Linked DNA regions of Oryzias latipes. The protein of the gene in region 1 binds, or shares a complex with, the protein of each later gene. Links are inferred from orthologs where the notes say so. Each region holds a gene or a part of one and is shown on either strand. Other genes may lie near its edges.

Region 1 (5,915 bases):
GAACACACACACACACACTGATGTACACAAACACTGATGAAGACACACACACTGATGAACACACACACACACACTCACTGATGAACACACACACACACACTGATGAACACACACACACTGATGAACACACACACACACACTGATGAACACACACACACTCACTGATGAACACACACACTCACTGATGAACACACACACACTGATGAACACACACACACACACTGATGTACACACACACTGATGAACACACACACACTGATGAACACACAAACACTGATGAACACACACACACACACTCACTGATGAACACACACACACACTGATGAACACACACACACTGATGAACACACACACACATACTGATGAACACACACACACACACTGATGAACACACAAACACTGATGAACACACACACAAACACACACTCACTGATGAACACACACACACTCACTGATGAACACACACACACTGATGAACACACACACACACACTGATGTACACACACACTGATGAACACACACACACTGATGAACACACACACACTGATGAACACACACACACTGATGAACACACACACACTGATGAACACACACACACACACTCACTGATGAACACACACACACACACTGATGAACACACACACACACACTGATGAACACACACACACACACTGATGAACACACACACACTGATGAACACACACACACTGATGAACACACACACACACACACTGATGAACACACACAAACACTGATGAACACACACACACACTGATGAACACACACACACTGATGAACACACACACACACTGATGAACACACAAACACTGATGAACACACACACACTGATGTACACACAAACACTGATGAACACACACACACACTGATGAACACACACTGATAAGAACACACACACACTGATGAACACACACACACTGATGAACACACACACTGATGAACACACACACACACACACTGATGAACACACACACACACTGATGAACACACACACACACACACTGATGAACACACACACACACACACTGATGAACACACAAACACTGATGAACACACACACTGATGAACACACACACACTGATGAACACACACACACACACTGATGAACACACACACACACACTGATGAACACACAAACACTGATGAACACACACACAAACACACACTCACTGATGAACACACACACACTCACTGATGAACACACACACACACACTGATGAACACACACACACTGATGTACACACACACTGATGAACACACACACACTGATGAACACACAAACACTGATGAACACACACACACACACTCACTGATGAACACACACACACACACTGATGAACACACACACACTGATGAACACACACACACATACTGATGAACACACACACACACACACACACACACACACACTGATGAACACACACACACTGATGAACACACACACAAACACACACAAACTGATGAACACACACACACTCACTGATGAACACACACACACTGATGAACACACACACACACACTGATGTACACACACACTGATGAACACACACACACACACACTGATGTACACACACACTGATGAAGACACACACACTGATGAACACACACACACACACTCACTGATGAACACACACACACACACTGATGAACACACACACACTGATGAACACACACACACACACTGATGAACACACACACACTCACTGATGAACACACACACTCACTGATGAACACACACACACTGATGAACACACACACACACACTGATGTACACACACACTGATGAACACACACACACTGATGAACACACAAACACTGATGAACACACACACACACACTCACTGATGAACACACACACACACTGATGAACACACACACACTGATGAACACACACACACATACTGATGAACACACACACACACACTGATGAACACACACACACTGATGAACACACAAACACTGATGAACACACACACAAACACACACTCACTGATGAACACACACACACTCACTGATGAACACACACACACTGATGAACACACACACACACACTGATGTACACACACACTGATGAACACACACACACTGATGAACACACACACACTGATGAACACACACACACTGATGAACACACACACTGATGAACACACACACTGATGAACACACAAACACTGATGAACACACAAACACTGATGAACACACACACACTGATGAACACACACACACACACACTGATGAACACACACACACACACTGATGAACACACAAACACTGATGAACACACACACACACTGATGAACACACACACACACACTGATGAACACACACACACACTGATGAACACACACACACACACACTGATGAACACACACACACACACTGATGTACACACACACTGATGAACACACACACTGATGAACACACACACACTGATGAACACACACACACTGATGAACACACACACTGATGAACACACAAACACTGATGAACACACAAACACTGATGAACACACACACACTGATGAACACACACACACTGATGAACACACACACACACACACTGATGAACACACACACACACACACTGATGAACACACACACACACTGATGAACACACACACACACACTGATGAACACACACACACACACTGATGAACACACACACACACACACTGATGAACACACACACACACACACTGATGAACACACACACACACACACTGATGAACACACACACGACCCGTGACAGACACGGCGAGCAGAAGACTCTGATGGATGACGGACTTGAAAAGTTCTTCTCTTCTGCAGGATCTGTCAGACATCAACAGGATGATCCGGCAGGGCTCTGCCAGCAGGAAGAGGGCCTTCACCATGGAGGGGGACGTGACCATGGCGTCCGCGTGCGACTCGCCAAGTAAGAGGGCGTGTCCGGAGAACGGCGGCAGCCCGGACGTGCTGCTGAAACGTCTGCAGGACGTGGTGTCGGAGAGGCAGAGCCACTGAAGTCCTGACGGGAGGAGCAGAGTCGGCAGAAGACATCCGTGGAGGTTTCTGTCCTTCAGTGGCCTGATTGGTCTGCAGGAAAGACTCATGAGCTGAAGCTGTCACCAGGGGGCGCTCCCGCTCACAGCGTTGGGGGCCGTCGCTCGTCTTGTTCTAGTGCAGTTGGAAGATGGTCGGACTGAAGCGCCACGTGTCGCTCTTTGTGGTGTAGATTGTAGGTCGTCGTCGAGGAGAAACCGTCCTTCACCACATCTGTCAGTTTTTAACCCAATATTCTCACTTTTCAGAGGAAAGATGCTCCTGCAGGTTAGATTACCTGCGGCTTTTCATTTCTTTGATCACTCATTTAGATCTCCCCCTTTGCATTTACTGAAGTGAAGCACAGGTTGCCATGACAACAGCAGACCGGTGGAAGTTTTACTGATGAGTATTTGATTCCTTCATAAACTGGTGACAAGAAAACAAAAAAACTCAATTTTAAAACATTTTTAGGTCTTAAAACAACGTCTGAACCTGTGAATATCTTCCTCTGATGGTCTTCCTCACTGTTTTTGTAAAAAGTCAGTTTAAAAGTAATTTTATTTTAACCTTTTCTCTGTTTGTTTGTGACTTTAACCATTTTGTTGTAAATGTAGTGAAGAAAATCACTGCAGAGGTGTGTGTGTGTGTGCGTGTGTGTGCGTGTGTGCCTGTGTGTGTGTGTGTAGCATCTACACACCTGGTTTTATTCAGTTTAAGATTTGATGACACCTGTTTTTCATACATGGAACAAAATTCTGTCAGAAACTGAACATTTTTTGAAGTCTTTCTGTTTTGTCCTGAGAAAACAGAAATACAGAAAATCTGTTTCAATTATGGAAAAGAAGCTGTTTCTCTGCAAACTACAATCGTGTTCAGTTTGAAAAAAATAAAATGTATGTTTTATTATTTCTGTGGAATTCTTTAATATGCAGATAAATATCAGGTTTTGCCTTTTAAGGCCAGAATGTTCTGAAAATAAAAAAAAACCTTAAAGGTAGACATTTGTTCAAACATTATGACCAAAAATCACCACAAGAGGTAAAGAGTCCAAAACAAACTGGAAGGGAAATAAAGACGGCAGAGACACCCAAACAGCCCCAGGCAGCTGTGACCTCTGCCTGGAGGGGGCGGGGCCTCCAGGAGGACTCACCGCCAACCTGCAGAACGAATGCAAAGAAAACTCCATAAACCAAAACACCAAAGACAGACGCTTCAACAGCTTCAGAGCTTCAAGGCTTCAGAGATTCAAAAGCTTCAACAGCTTCAGAGCAGGCAACGTCCATCTCTGCAAGCTTCCGTTTCAGGAGAGACGCTCTGCTGGAGCTGCTGCTCCTGTCAGTAGATCTTTCCTTTCTGCTCTTTTCCATCCCGTCCAGACTTTCCATCTGAGACTTTCTGTGAGGAACCTTCTGAGCCGCTTTGAGTTCGAACAGTTTTTAGTGTAGACCAGGGGTCGGGAACCTATGGCTCGCGAGCCATATATGGCTCTTTTGATGGTCACATGTGGCTCGCAGACAAATCTTTAATTATACTTTTTTTTAATCATTAGTCCAGTTCTTCTCGGGCGCGATGCGATGCCAGAGGCGCGCAGTAGTAGCGGTGCTTGGAGAGAAAAATCTGCGCCAGCGCTATAAGTTTACAATTATCTATAATTTCACAGAGTTTGTACCAACTGGAAACCTGTGAATTGCCGTGCCTAAAAGTGCGCGCTCCCGTCTCTGAGAAAGAGCGCGCAGTTGCGGGGACGGGATGTGTGAGGAAGAAAGCAGAGGGTGGGGGGGGGGGGGTGTTGTGGGGACAGGCAGCAGGTGAATCGCGCAGGGATTGTAAAAACGTAAAACCCGCTTCCCGTCACTCACTGCAGCGTGTGAGTGTGTGTTTGGTTCCATGTCTGTCTCACATCTACAGAACATTCAGACCTACGATCACGTTTAAAGTCTCAACGCCTGCATGAAGCAGAAACTCACCACGTATCAACCAGACTAAACCATCAGCAAAACTACCACGAGAAATACTCATCATTTATTAGCAACAGAATAACAATGTTATTAAAAAGAATCCACAGACTTATTGTACTTTAAAAATGTTGAAATTACATCAAATGCACACATTCACTTGTATATTTAGTTTTAAATATATCGTTGCTTACTGACTTGGACTGGGTGGCTGTTGGGTCGCGTTAAAAGTTCTGGAGTTCATTGAATGCATCAAGCAGAGATCTGATTGGCTCTCAGTTCTGTCGCTCAGCCTGTTGTTAGGTAATTTGGACCAATGGGGTTCAGCTATGGGCCGAATAAGGGAAATGGGAGGGCTGGAGCGGGAGGGGGGAATATAAAGTTGGGAGAAGCGCTCTCGTTTCAGCGGGAGAGATTCAGGAGTTGCTGAATTAATTGTACGGCGTTTGTTGTGGTCTGCAGTCACCAGAATAAAGAACCTTAAAAGAGGTTAAGTCTCCGTGCCTCAGTGTGGGAAAGGGACACTACATTATTGTATGGCTCTTTGGAAATTACATTTAAAAATATGTGGCGTTTATGGCTCTCTTGGCCAAAAAGGTTCCCGACCCCTGGTGTAGAGGATCAGAAATCCCCCGAGGAACCAAGTGGAGACTTTCAGAGGACAGAAGATGCTGAGAATGAATGAATGTTTTATTAGACCCCATGAAAACAGAGAGAACCAAGAGCAGAAACGAAAAACAAACAGGACAACAGACATAAAAGACAGAATCGAACGGAGCACTTCCGGTGATGGACGCAAATATCCCCGTCGCTCCCGTTCAGCGGCGCTGCAGCCCCGGTTCATCAGGAAATCAGGTCACAAACATGACGTTCCCGTGACTCCGCCGCTCAACCGACACCAGAAATCCACGCGCAGCCT
Region 2 (5,354 bases), on another chromosome or scaffold:
TTTTCTTTTATTCGTCTTCTTTAATATTTTTATCTGACTTTTATGCATTCCATTGCCCTTTTGTAATTTAATGCTTTTATTTTTCATTTTTTTTTCATTTAGCTTAATTTTTGATTTTCTCTTTTTATTTATCTTCTTAATGTAAGTTGGTACCCTGATGTTATTGTTTAGTGCTTTACAAATAAAGATTTTTCTTTTTAATGACTTTTTTTCTTTGTCTTTGAAAGTGCCCAAACTCATTACCAAAAAGTGAAGGACAAAAAAGTTGATATAGAATGTTTATAGTTTGGATTCCAAATGTACAGAATGTTTTTTTTTAAGTTCTCAGTGGTGTTTTAGTACGACGGAGTTTTAGGGCCACGGTGAGGAAAAAAAATTCTGCCCAACATGACGAGATTAAAGTCGTCATGTCGACTTTAATCTCGTCATGACGAGAAAAAACTCGACACAAAGTTTCGAGAAAAAACTCGTCCTGTCGAGATAAAAGTCGAAATAAAGTTTCGAGATTAAAGTCGCAATGTTGCGCGCGAGAGAAAAAAAATCGTAAATTTACGAGATTATTGTGGAAGTGAGCAGCACGCAGAGCAGCAGGTGATCGCCGTGCAGCAGCAGAGCAGACCGACTAAACTTTGTTGAACAGGTGAGCTGAATGTTAATTGATAACGTTCCAAATGTCTGGAGGCTCATTTGATTGATTCACAAGTTATTAAAGTTTTATTTATTGATGGTTGGTTTGCAGGATCTCTGCAGCTGTTTGCTTGAATCCTTTCTTCCTCCACCAGAGACCAGATATCTATGTTTGTGTGATGCTTCTGTCTGAGGAGGAGAAGCACTTTTTGCCATTTTCAACGTTGTAATGCTAATATAACAGACTATTTTCATTCATCTTTGTTTTTTAATGATCAAACGGGTCGCTTCATCTGCAGGAGGGGGCGTATGTGACACTGTTTACTTCCGCATTGGTGATCGGATGACAGATTCATGACGTAATGTGACAGATGAACTTCAGGTTATGTGAATGAAAAGGAGAATAAAGGCTGCAGCGATCCTCTACACCCAAACGTGTCTCTGAGCTCCCTATTTTACATATCAAAGTCCGCTTTACTGACACCGAACCCCGGAAAGACGGCTCCACGGAAAATAATCTGATTTTGAGTCGCCAAAAGGCTCAGAATATCTTTGTTTTAAACCTATAATCCGGAAATAAAGCTTCACAAAAGGCTCCACATATTTCATCTTCAAGCTAGGCTCCGATAAACAGACAACTTCTGGGTTTTCTCCTTGTTAATCAATGAACTTTTTCCCGTAAATTTACGAGTTTTTATCTCCTAATAAAATTAGTTTTTTTTGGTGGCCATAAAACTCTGTCGTAAACTCTTAAATACAAAGCCACTAGCTCACTAACATTAGCCATAACACTGAATATTCCTGAAAGACTCAGCTTCACTGCTCTCGCACAACATTTCGACTTTAATCTCGAAACTTTATTTCGACTTTTATCTCGACACGACGAGTTTTTTCTCGAAACTTTGTGTCGAGTTTTTTCTCGTCATGACGAGATTAAAGTCGACATGACGACTTTAATCTCGTCACGTTGGCCAGAATTTTTTTTCCTCACCGTGGCCCTAAAACTCCGTCGTAGTTTTAGTTATGATTATGAAGTTTTTAACCAAAATTCCGTAACAGAAATGTCTTAAAAAGCCATATTTCATGTTTATCTGAAGCCTCCGTTTCCAAAATCTCCTCTAAATGGGCGTGGCCATTGGAGCTGAGCTAAGTAGCTCCGCCCTTGATGCCACCTTTCTGACTAAATCAGTGTCTAGCATGAGTGAAGAGCTGCACAAATGACAGCAAACTGACAGTCTCGATTCAAAAAAGTGAAAACTGACATATTTTTGGTTCCAAATCGCCACTTTTGAACAACATTTACAAAAACCTTGTTTACTAAGATTAGCCACAAAAAAGAACTTTGATAAGTCCATGAAATTGAGTTGCATTGCAGAATTTGAGCGGCACTGGCTGAAATGACTATTCACATGTAATTTTCCAAATACTCAAATTAATCCCAAACTTAATCCATCCTCAGAGGATGAGTTCCTCTGGGGGGGGGGGGGGGGGGGGGGGGGGGGGGGGGGGGGCGATTCGTGCGCCACCTCAGGTCCCGTCTGAACCAAATCGCCCAACAGGAGCCGGGACGGGTTCACCATGGACAGTTTGCCGTAGGGCGCATGGATCCCGATCACTTTGCCAGCTCCGGGGAGCCAGCCTGCTCCGGCCTCCTAAACTTTATATTTTTCTAATTTTCATCAATATAAAAAACAAAAAACAAACAAAAAAAAGGTCCTCCAATTTTATTCTCGTTTTTATTTTTACCCTCATTCATTCGGGACCTTCACTTTAAAGTCAGATGAAAATCAGGTTTTTTTGGGTTTTTGTCATGTACCTGTGGCATTTTTCTTATAGAAGAGAACAAATATAATTTAATAAAAACATTTCATTTTTGCATTTCTGAGTATTTCTCCTTTTAAATGGCGGTCAAACCGAGGCTGGGTCTGAATGAATGAGCTGTTGTGACGTCCCCCTAACGAGTAATCCGCATCAATCTATCAAATTCATGCTGGGTTTAATGTCTAAAGTATTCAGTCGAAACATAATCCTCCATCAGTCCACTCATGTTGCAGCTGATCCTCCGTCCGTCAGGTCTCACAATTTTATTTAGTATAAAACCAACAAAATCTAATTACTTTCATAGGAAAAAAACAATGCTGCCTAACTTTAGTTAATAGTTTGTGGACCTATGAGCCACACAATATTAGCACTCTGATAACAAATATTTGACAAAATAAATATCAAAAGATAAAAGTTCTGCTCGTCTACCGTAAGCACAAATATACCGATAGCAAAATGAGAGGCGTTCTTGGAAAACCTCAAAATAAGAGCAGCAGTCAGGTGGAAACAGAAGAGGAGGAGGTTCTGAAGGGCAGAGAAGTTCCTGTTGGACTCCAACTCGTCGTTTCTGTGCATCACAGTCCGATGAACGAGTGGGACCCAGAGTCCGCTCATCAGTCCGAGCTGAGCCGCTCGCTCCAGCTGCCGCTGGGAGAAATCCGCCTTTTTAGGCTCCTCCCTCTGCCTCGGAGGAGACGGCCCCGTTCCTCCCGCGGGAAGGGACGGGCGTCGGAGGCGCGGCGACCGAGGCGCGACCGGGGAAACTTGGCGACAGCTCAACTCAGCAGTTGATGGAGGCACTGTCGGCTTTGGCCTTCCCCGCAGAGGTGATGATGTTCATAAGGCAGTGTCCGAACTCCTCCAGGATCAGCCGCTCCGCTTCGCTCGTCAGCTGATCCGTCTGCTCGGCTCTTCTGGCCTTGTCCAGCAGACACTCGCACGTCGCCTCCACCACCTCCTTCGTTAGGAACGTGTACGGAAGCCTGCGGGGAACAAGACTATCATGACTCTGAATTTCTGATGTTTGTCGATTATTAATATTGTTTTTTTTTAATGCAAGCTCCTGTTCTTTGTTGCATCATCATCCTGAAAAAAAGATCCTCAAACCCGCTTTTATGCAATTTCCACATTAATCTGCTTTTCAAAATCTGTATTGACAAAGAAATAAACACATTAAAAATATTTTCTTTTAAGCTGTCTTTTTAATTATTTACCATTTATGACAAAGAACTTATTTTTATCCCATAGCTTGTTTTTAGCCGTCTTATATTTGAGCTATTTAGCCTAAAGCTTCGTACTGTAAACACAAATTCATCTTAGCTTAATGAAAACTACTGAACAAGATTAAGATTTAAAAAACATGTTTTTTTTCTTTTCGACTTTATTTCCCCCAAAAAGTTTGACTTTTATATCCACACCACCATTTTCCTTTATTGGGGCATTTTTCCACATTTTTTGTTTTATTTAGCAGAACAATAAAAAACTGTTGATGAAAAAAACAACATATTTTTTTAACTTTATTTAACATTTCACACTTTTTTTCCAGTCGTCTTAAATTGAGATTTTGTGCTATTTTTTTGCATCGCCTTGTTTTCCTGTTTTCTGGGCCGTTTTTCCTAATTTTCTAGATTTTTGTGCTGTCTTGTATTTAGCAGAACAATAAGCATGCAATAAGGGCAACTAACCTTAAATATAGAATTTAACTTAGCTCTTTTTTTAGCTTCGCTGAACATTACACACTTGTTCTTGAACCCACAGTGACATCAGCGTAACAGAAAAATGTCAGAAAAGTTTGTCCACTTGGTTTGCAGTAAATACACACAATCTTATTTTGAAGGAAAAATGGGTTTGGGTTCTTATGAGTTAAATAAAGATTTAATAATAAGTTTAAATATTTCTCATAATCAATTCCCCTCGTTTTGGAATTTTCTAAATTTTTAAGGTTTTCCCTCTACGAATCAAATTTACCCTTAACCCAACCTTTTTTTTTGCTTTTGACATTACATACTCTTTTTCAGCTGTCCTACATTTTTTTGGCAGCCATAACTTTTTGCAGTAATACCCAAAAAAAAGATGATATGAGTCTGATCTGAATAATTTTTCTGTTTAAAGCAAGAAAACAGCATCAGAAGGCCAGAAATGTGTCGATTGCTTATGTATTTGTGAGTCAACAGGAGTCTTAAATGCAGAAAAAAAAGGTTTTGGTGTAACATTTTCAGATAAATAGAGCCCAAAACCATTTTCTTTGTTTATTTCTCATCCGTGTAAAGTTCTCCAGGCGTTTCCGGAGTTTTCCGGCAGCGGTTCTCACCTCCCGCTTCCGCTGGAAATGACCGGAGTGGTCCTCATGAGCAGGTCTGAGATCTGCGAGGACAGCTTGGTCTTTGCTGCCGTCTGCTGCTGAACCCTCACTTCTGCTGCGTCCGCCAGGTGCATCAGCGTCTTCCTCTCCGGGCTTTCCTCAAAGTTTTTGCACCCGATGCATTTGCATATGGATGAGCACATGATCTTTGCCTTGGAAGAAAGAAATGTAAACACGATTAATGCTTCAGCAGTTTTTTTTTGTATGTCCCTGCTGCCCTGGTCAAAGCTTCACGGCACAAATTCGTAATAAATAAAGAAAAAGAAAATCTTAAAATGGCAACTTTTCAATTAGTTTATCTCCATAGCAACCATTTACTTTCTTGGTTGCCTGGGGGTGACGAACAGGTTCATGTAATTTTTAGAAGAATCGGCAAAAGTACATTTGTGGATTTCCTTAGCAACAGAGGTTTCTTATTAACCACACCCACATTCTCATGTATTAAAATCACGTTATATCGTTTTTTTTAGCTTGAGTCATTTATTACGCTTTCACAAGTACCAAAAATGCCAAAAATTCATTTTCACTGGGTACAAGATGCGTT
Region 3 (6,077 bases), on another chromosome or scaffold:
TTAATATAAAAAGTTTTAATATATTTCCAAACACATGAAATAGGTAACTGTCTAAATTGTCATTGATCCCCTTTGATCCACTCAATAGAAATAAGTGGCCACTCTTCCAGGACTCTCTACAAAAGGTTTGTGTATTGAAATGAACACGTTTTTGCAGAATACTGGATTTCCTTTAAAGCTGTATAGATCAACATTGAGGAGGTTAATTTGGAAGATCAAGAGGGCCTGTGTGCTGTAACATTATCCTCCTTGTACAAGATTGACTTCTTAAATAAAATTTAGTGTTTCTGTTTGCACACTGGCCTTTGGTTTAGGCCACTTTAAACACAGTTTTTGTTCCTAACTGTTTCAAAATTGAACAGATATTTGGATATCTATGGCTGGAGAGCTTTTTAATTGTTGATATTTGTGTATTTTTTGTCTTGTGATAACATGTGTATTTATTTTTCAGAATGACATGTGAACTTTATTGAAAAAAGTCCTTTAAAGGGGCACAACACCCCTGCTGGGGAAATTTCCTTCAGATTTTCAGCTACTGCCGGCATGTTGCGGCTTTACTCTTCCCACAGCAGGTAAATGTTTTTTCTGCAAATGTGTATTGAGGCCTCAGCTCACGTTAACCCCGCTTTAACAGGCCTGCAGTCGCTGCATCGTTCCAGGTGTGATGCTTTCACACCTCCGGGCTCCGCAGACGTCTGAAGTCGCTGCGCAGCCTCTGCTGTGCCAGCCGGCACGGATGGTCGGCCCATTCACACATTCCCTCGGTACCACCTTTGATCGCGGCTGGGATATAACCCCCAGAGAGCCCACGGGTCACAGTCAGCGGCTGCAGCTCCAGAGGCAGGAGGACAATGTCTGCGGTTGGTGGGAAAATGCGCGTCCGGGACCTGAACCACTTTCAGATGCTTCACGACGGGCCTCCGCACATGAGCCGCGTGGTGAGCTCAGGTGAGTGACCAACCGATCTGAACTGTTCCAACTCCTCCAATACTTGCTTTTTCAAATAATAGGTTTTATACAAAGATCCAGTTTTTGCGCTTCTCGCTGTGCGTCATTTACGCACCAAGTTCGCTTCCCGAAGTTAAACTCTCTCCGATTCTCTTGAAATCACAGAATTCGGATCCTCGGATGTTACGAACTACTTTACCCCCACAAACTCTGCACCAAGGGAGGAGAAATGCATGACCATTCTAACGCACAGGAGAAAGAGGACCAACTTCACCCAGCAGCAAATACAAGTGCTGGAAAAAGTTTATTCTGACACAAAATATCCTGACATCTACCTCCGAGAGCGCCTGGAGGCTCTGACTGGACTGCCAGAGTCCAGGATTCAGGTAAGGATGTGCTTAACTGGGATTTTGTTAGTCAAACATATAGTTACAACCAGGAAAGTTTAAAAAATAATCTCTAAATGTCCCATTTGTATTTATTATTTTAGGTTTGGTTTCAGAACAGAAGGGCCAAGTCTCGTAGGCAGGTGGGATCCTCAGTCTCCAAGGTCTCAAACACCCCAGGAGGTGTCACCTTCAGCCAAATCCAGAGCAGAATGTCCTCTCAAAAAGGTAATTTCATCCTTCTGTCCTGGATATATTTTCCTTTCTGATTTAATAAGACAGAGGAATAAAAAGCACACCTTTTTTGAAAATGTTTCCTACTGTTTTTCAGCTTATGAGCACAACTCTGAGATGCAAAGGATGGGAGCTTTTAAAGCACATGATAGTTTTATGCCGCTTATTCAACAAAGCGCTGTGGATCCTCACATGACCAGACTTCCAGGGAATTCCAGCAATTACACTCAGAAATCTTCATCATGCCTTTATGACATCAAGGGACCCAGAGGCCCGGCTGGCCAAGTGCAGCAACACAAACCCACCATCCCCACCCCAAGCTTCCATCTCTATCCCACCCAGAACGAGCATCAAGTCAAGACTGAAGCCAACAAGCCTGATAACCAGGCTCCAAAAGTCTTAGTGGAGTACGACAACTTCCCACCTAATAAAACTATCGGGCCGGAGATGAAAATTGTGATACCTCCGATCCCCAGCAGTTTCACAAGGTCGTCTCCAAATGATAGCGTGTGTCAGATGCAGTATCCACAAATGAGACTTACAGGTGGAGGACTCGGCCACTTCTCTCCCATTCAAAACATGGAAGCACAGAACATTTCCGACACGGATTCTGACTGGGAACAGGAAACGATGGCCGGCTTCAGTGGCTTCTGCGATCTTTAAGGAGCCTCCAAGATCCACGGGAGTCTGTATTTATTGTAAAACGTAATAATATTCATGACTGTATTTGTATTTTCCGAGTTGTGTATAAAATAAAAGAAAAAAAAAGACTTTTGCACCATTATGTTTAATAAAAAAGGAGGGAAACATTTACAGTTGCCCTGAGGCATTTTCATATACAACTGTACAATACTGAAAAAAGGGGTTCCCTAAGAAGAAAAAAAAAATTAACTTGAGATTTTTGGGGTCTGGGGGGTGATGGGGATGCAGGCTTTAGGTCGAGGGGATCAGCAGCCATGCCAGATGTGGTAATGCTAACATCTTAAGAGTAAAAGGCATCAAAAACCCAGAGATCTCGTTTACAAAAATACCAAAATCTCTTTAGTGCACACAAAATTACAAAAAGCCTTTTCTGAATATGAGGCAGAAATGTTAATATTCTATTAATTAGAGATATTGTACAGTTATCTACAACAATAAACTTTTCATTAAACATTCTTTTGCTTCCCAACACAACAGAAGTTTCATAGGAAGAAACAGTTTTTTTATCAACATACACAACTACACAAAAATAAATAAATATCAACAATAAAAACTGTTGGAATCAATGCTTGGCACGTTGGAGGTGTTGTCTTTAGCGTCAGGAGCTCAAACATTTCCCATAAAACAAAACGGATGGGTAAAAACGAGAACATCGTTGCTCCGGTGAGATCAAATCCCGTTTAGATGGAAGCACCGACCGTGAGGTGGCACGCCTCCATGCGCGTGCAGGAGAAAATGCTGGTGCTTAGACTGCATTGGTGTTGTTTGCAGCGAATGCGTGGAGATTTCCCAGTTGACTCAAACCACTCTGAATGTGAGCAACGTGGATTTCTACGTTGTTCTGAAAGCAACTGGAAATGAGGGAGACTGTAAGTAAAGACATGTAAGGAGTTCAAAAATAGAGGAGGGTTGATCTACCTGAGGTTGGAAGGATCGACTGAAGCTTTGATGTCATTCAGGGAGTCTGTCAGGGATTTAAACTCAAATGAGTTCAGATCCCCTTCATCTGCCAGACACTGAAACGAAGCAGGAGGTCAGATAAGCAGCTAATCAACTTATGAATAACACATGAGTTGCCTCTCCGGCTGAAGACTATCAGCTTCCTTCAGCTGCAGAACTTGTGAAATGCTCTCCACCTTTATCTGTAAGAGCAGAGCAGTGAGGCGGGAGATGAGGCTCGTGAGGCCGGGGTTTGTGATGATGTGCTGTCCGTCCCACTGCGGGTTGTACATCTGCACCATCTGCTGGGCTTGCTCTTCACAACGCCGCCGCAGCTCTGTGGGATGGTCAGCTGGAACCATGCCCTGATCCGGAGAAAGCTGGACAAAGATTTAAGGTGAATACACTGCAGCATCAGTCTTCCCAAACACTCAGGAAGAGCACCTTTTGTGTTCCCAACATTATTTAAAATCCTGTCACGTACAGAAATCCAGACGTGGAGACCTAGTTTTTGCTAAAGCAACTTTACAACAGACAGCTTTGTGATAAAAATCCAACATGAAACAATATTTGTGACAAATCGATTTCTCAAATCAGGGAGGTTTTTAATTAGCCTGGAGTTTGCTAATAAATCTCAATTTCAGCTTTAACTCTGAAACTACAAAGAATGGATCAGTGCACTTAACATCAAACATCAGGATGTGAAAACATTTCTGCTGTTCAAATTATTTGTTAAGCCGCTGTGATGTGTTGCAGTGCGACAATATGCAATTAACAACAATTATTACCTGCATAACATCTTTAATACACAAAAAAAAGTTTTAAAACATCAATTTCTCCATTGCGGGATCCATAATCTACTCTATTCTATTCAGGTTATCGGTGAACTTCCAATGTCTTAGGTCCTCGTTTTATTCTGCACATCAGTAAAAGCCTCACTGTTGCTAAAACTGACTGATCTAATAGACTTTAGACTATAAATCAGTCACATTCTGTTACTCAGTCCTTTAAATGCATTTCATTTCTAACTTAATAAAACTTATTTTTCTCTCCTATTCCAGTATAATGTTGGGATACTCCAAACTCCAAACCAGTAGAATTCAACAGACGAAGGCTCAGTCGGAAAAGATCAGTTTGAATGTTTAAGATAGGCTTGCCTACAAAACCGTACGTCCCCTTTAACTGGTCAAAACGTATGAAAAAAGTACTTTATGTACCTGAGAGACCTTCAAACAGTCAGACTTGACAGGATGAACTTACATCGCAACAGAACTGCTGCACTTCATGAAATACTTTGTTCAGATCTTTGTTAAGCTGGTCCAGCTCAAGCACAGTGATGGCATATCGCTTTTGAAAGTCCAGGTCGATGGGCATCGAGTACGACTTCTGAATACAAGAAGCAGGAATGTTATTTAGTCTTTCTTTAAACCTATTTGAGAATTGAAAGCGTTTTCAGTCATTCTGTGAATAGCATACCAGCCTTTCTGCCTCCGTGTTCATTTCTTTTAAATGCTTGATGTGCTCTTTCTTTATCATCAGGATTTTGGACAATCTGGTCTGGAAACAAAAACAAACAAACAAAAGTCATTTAGAGTGCGTGTCCAGTTCCACATTTAAAAAAAGAATATTGCAAATTTCTTTTACAAAAAAAAGGCTTACAACTTGAACCAAGAATTTTACAGGAAATCCTCCGAGTGTTTCTCCCTCAGAACACGACAGTTTGTTCCTCCAAGGCGATTGGCTCATAAGAGGATCATTGTCCTGGGAGAAAATACATACATGTAGAGAAATGAGGCAGATTTCACAAGCGATTGACATGAAAAACCAACAAAATTAAGATTTGCATGTAACATGTTAAAGAAAACATTCAGGTACCAAGTTATAAAAGAGAACTGTAAAAAGATTTCACCATCACTGAGTTTAATTTTATCTATAGGCTTCATAAATTGAACAAAACGATTCTGAAGGCACATTTCAGGCAGCAGACAGAAATGTTTACAGTTCGCATGTAAATATGAAATGGCAGCCCATTATTGTTGGATTAGACTGATGTTACGGTTACCATGTGGACAGGTGTCGTGACGGACGGATACGTCGCTCTGGGCGGAGTCATGACGTTCTGCATGTACCGCGCTGACCGGTGTTTCTGAGCGAAAGCCGAGATGGGCATGGTTTCATTGGGTTCGTTGCTCTGGAAAAACAAATCGTTAGATTAGGAAAACGAGCTTCAGAGTTCCTGCTGCCGGTTGTTTTGGTGAAACCATTTATTTACACATTTACCAAAACTTCGTAATCAGGCACGGTGTGAGTTCCCAGGCCAGTGCGGTCGAAGGTGACACGATAGGTGGCCGCGCTTGTGTCGACTGCATCAATCTGCCCCGTGAACAAGCCATCGTGGTTGCCTCGGAGTCGAGCTGGAAAAAGTGAGCAGGATTAGCGTTCCAACAACACATCATCAGTATGACGGTCTAATCCCAGCTCACATTCAACATACAACATCCTACATACAAACTAAAGTTTCAAAAAGAAATTAAATCATAAATAAATCTAAATATAAATTAGAATACAACAGTAGATATTTGTTATAATGCTTCTTAATACTAACATATTTCACCTACTGTATAGAAATGTGGTGTAATAATTATAAGAGTTCACTACATCCTCTCTTTTTACTTCAAAAACGAGCCATCAGTATTGTACATAAAGCCGGCTATGTATCTATCATACAAACAATTTATTTGATCAATCTAGACTTGCACTAAACTTTGGAATGAGCTCAAACAATGTTCAAATATCCAAATATTCCAGAAAATCTATAAAGAAACTCTGATTTCAGGATATAAAGATAAGAGGAGTTAAGGATCAACA

Evidence for each region. Proteins that work in one complex are often made in the same cells at the same time.
Region 2: rbl1 (region 1) and lin54 share a complex: the UniProt entries of both Homo sapiens proteins name them as parts of the DREAM complex. The link is inferred for Oryzias latipes from reciprocal best matches to the Homo sapiens genes RBL1 and LIN54.
Region 3: rbl1 (region 1) and lin9 share a complex: the UniProt entries of both Homo sapiens proteins name them as parts of the DREAM complex. The link is inferred for Oryzias latipes from reciprocal best matches to the Homo sapiens genes RBL1 and LIN9.

The regions. Positions count from the first base shown.
Region 1 is NC_019863.2:32,772,366-32,778,280, reverse strand, and holds the end of rbl1 (retinoblastoma-like protein 1), read left to right. Parts: intron 1-2,825; coding exon 2,826-3,020; 3' UTR 3,021-3,947; downstream 3,948-5,915. UniProt on the Homo sapiens protein: Key regulator of entry into cell division. Directly involved in heterochromatin formation by maintaining overall chromatin structure and, in particular, that of constitutive heterochromatin by stabilizing histone methylation.
Region 2 is NC_019870.2:2,869,207-2,874,560, forward strand, and holds the end of lin54 (protein lin-54 homolog), read right to left. Parts: intron 4,963-5,354; coding exon 4,760-4,962; intron 3,432-4,759; coding exon 3,230-3,431; 3' UTR 2,337-3,229; downstream 1-2,336. UniProt on the Homo sapiens protein: Component of the DREAM complex, a multiprotein complex that can both act as a transcription activator or repressor depending on the context. In G0 phase, the complex binds to more than 800 promoters and is required for repression of E2F target genes.
Region 3 is NC_019882.2:7,722,771-7,728,847, reverse strand, and holds the end of lin9 (protein lin-9 homolog), read right to left. Parts: intron 5,624-6,077; coding exon 5,490-5,623; intron 5,401-5,489; coding exon 5,272-5,400; intron 4,971-5,271; coding exon 4,869-4,970; intron 4,767-4,868; coding exon 4,686-4,766; intron 4,596-4,685; coding exon 4,470-4,595; intron 3,590-4,469; coding exon 3,407-3,589; intron 3,287-3,406; coding exon 3,189-3,286; intron 3,122-3,188; coding exon 3,016-3,121; 3' UTR 2,337-3,015; downstream 1-2,336. Other genes in the region: homeobox protein MIXL1, read left to right, coding at 852-948, 1,114-1,334, 1,439-1,562, 1,666-2,231. UniProt on the Homo sapiens protein: Acts as a tumor suppressor. Inhibits DNA synthesis. Its ability to inhibit oncogenic transformation is mediated through its association with RB1. Plays a role in the expression of genes required for the G1/S transition.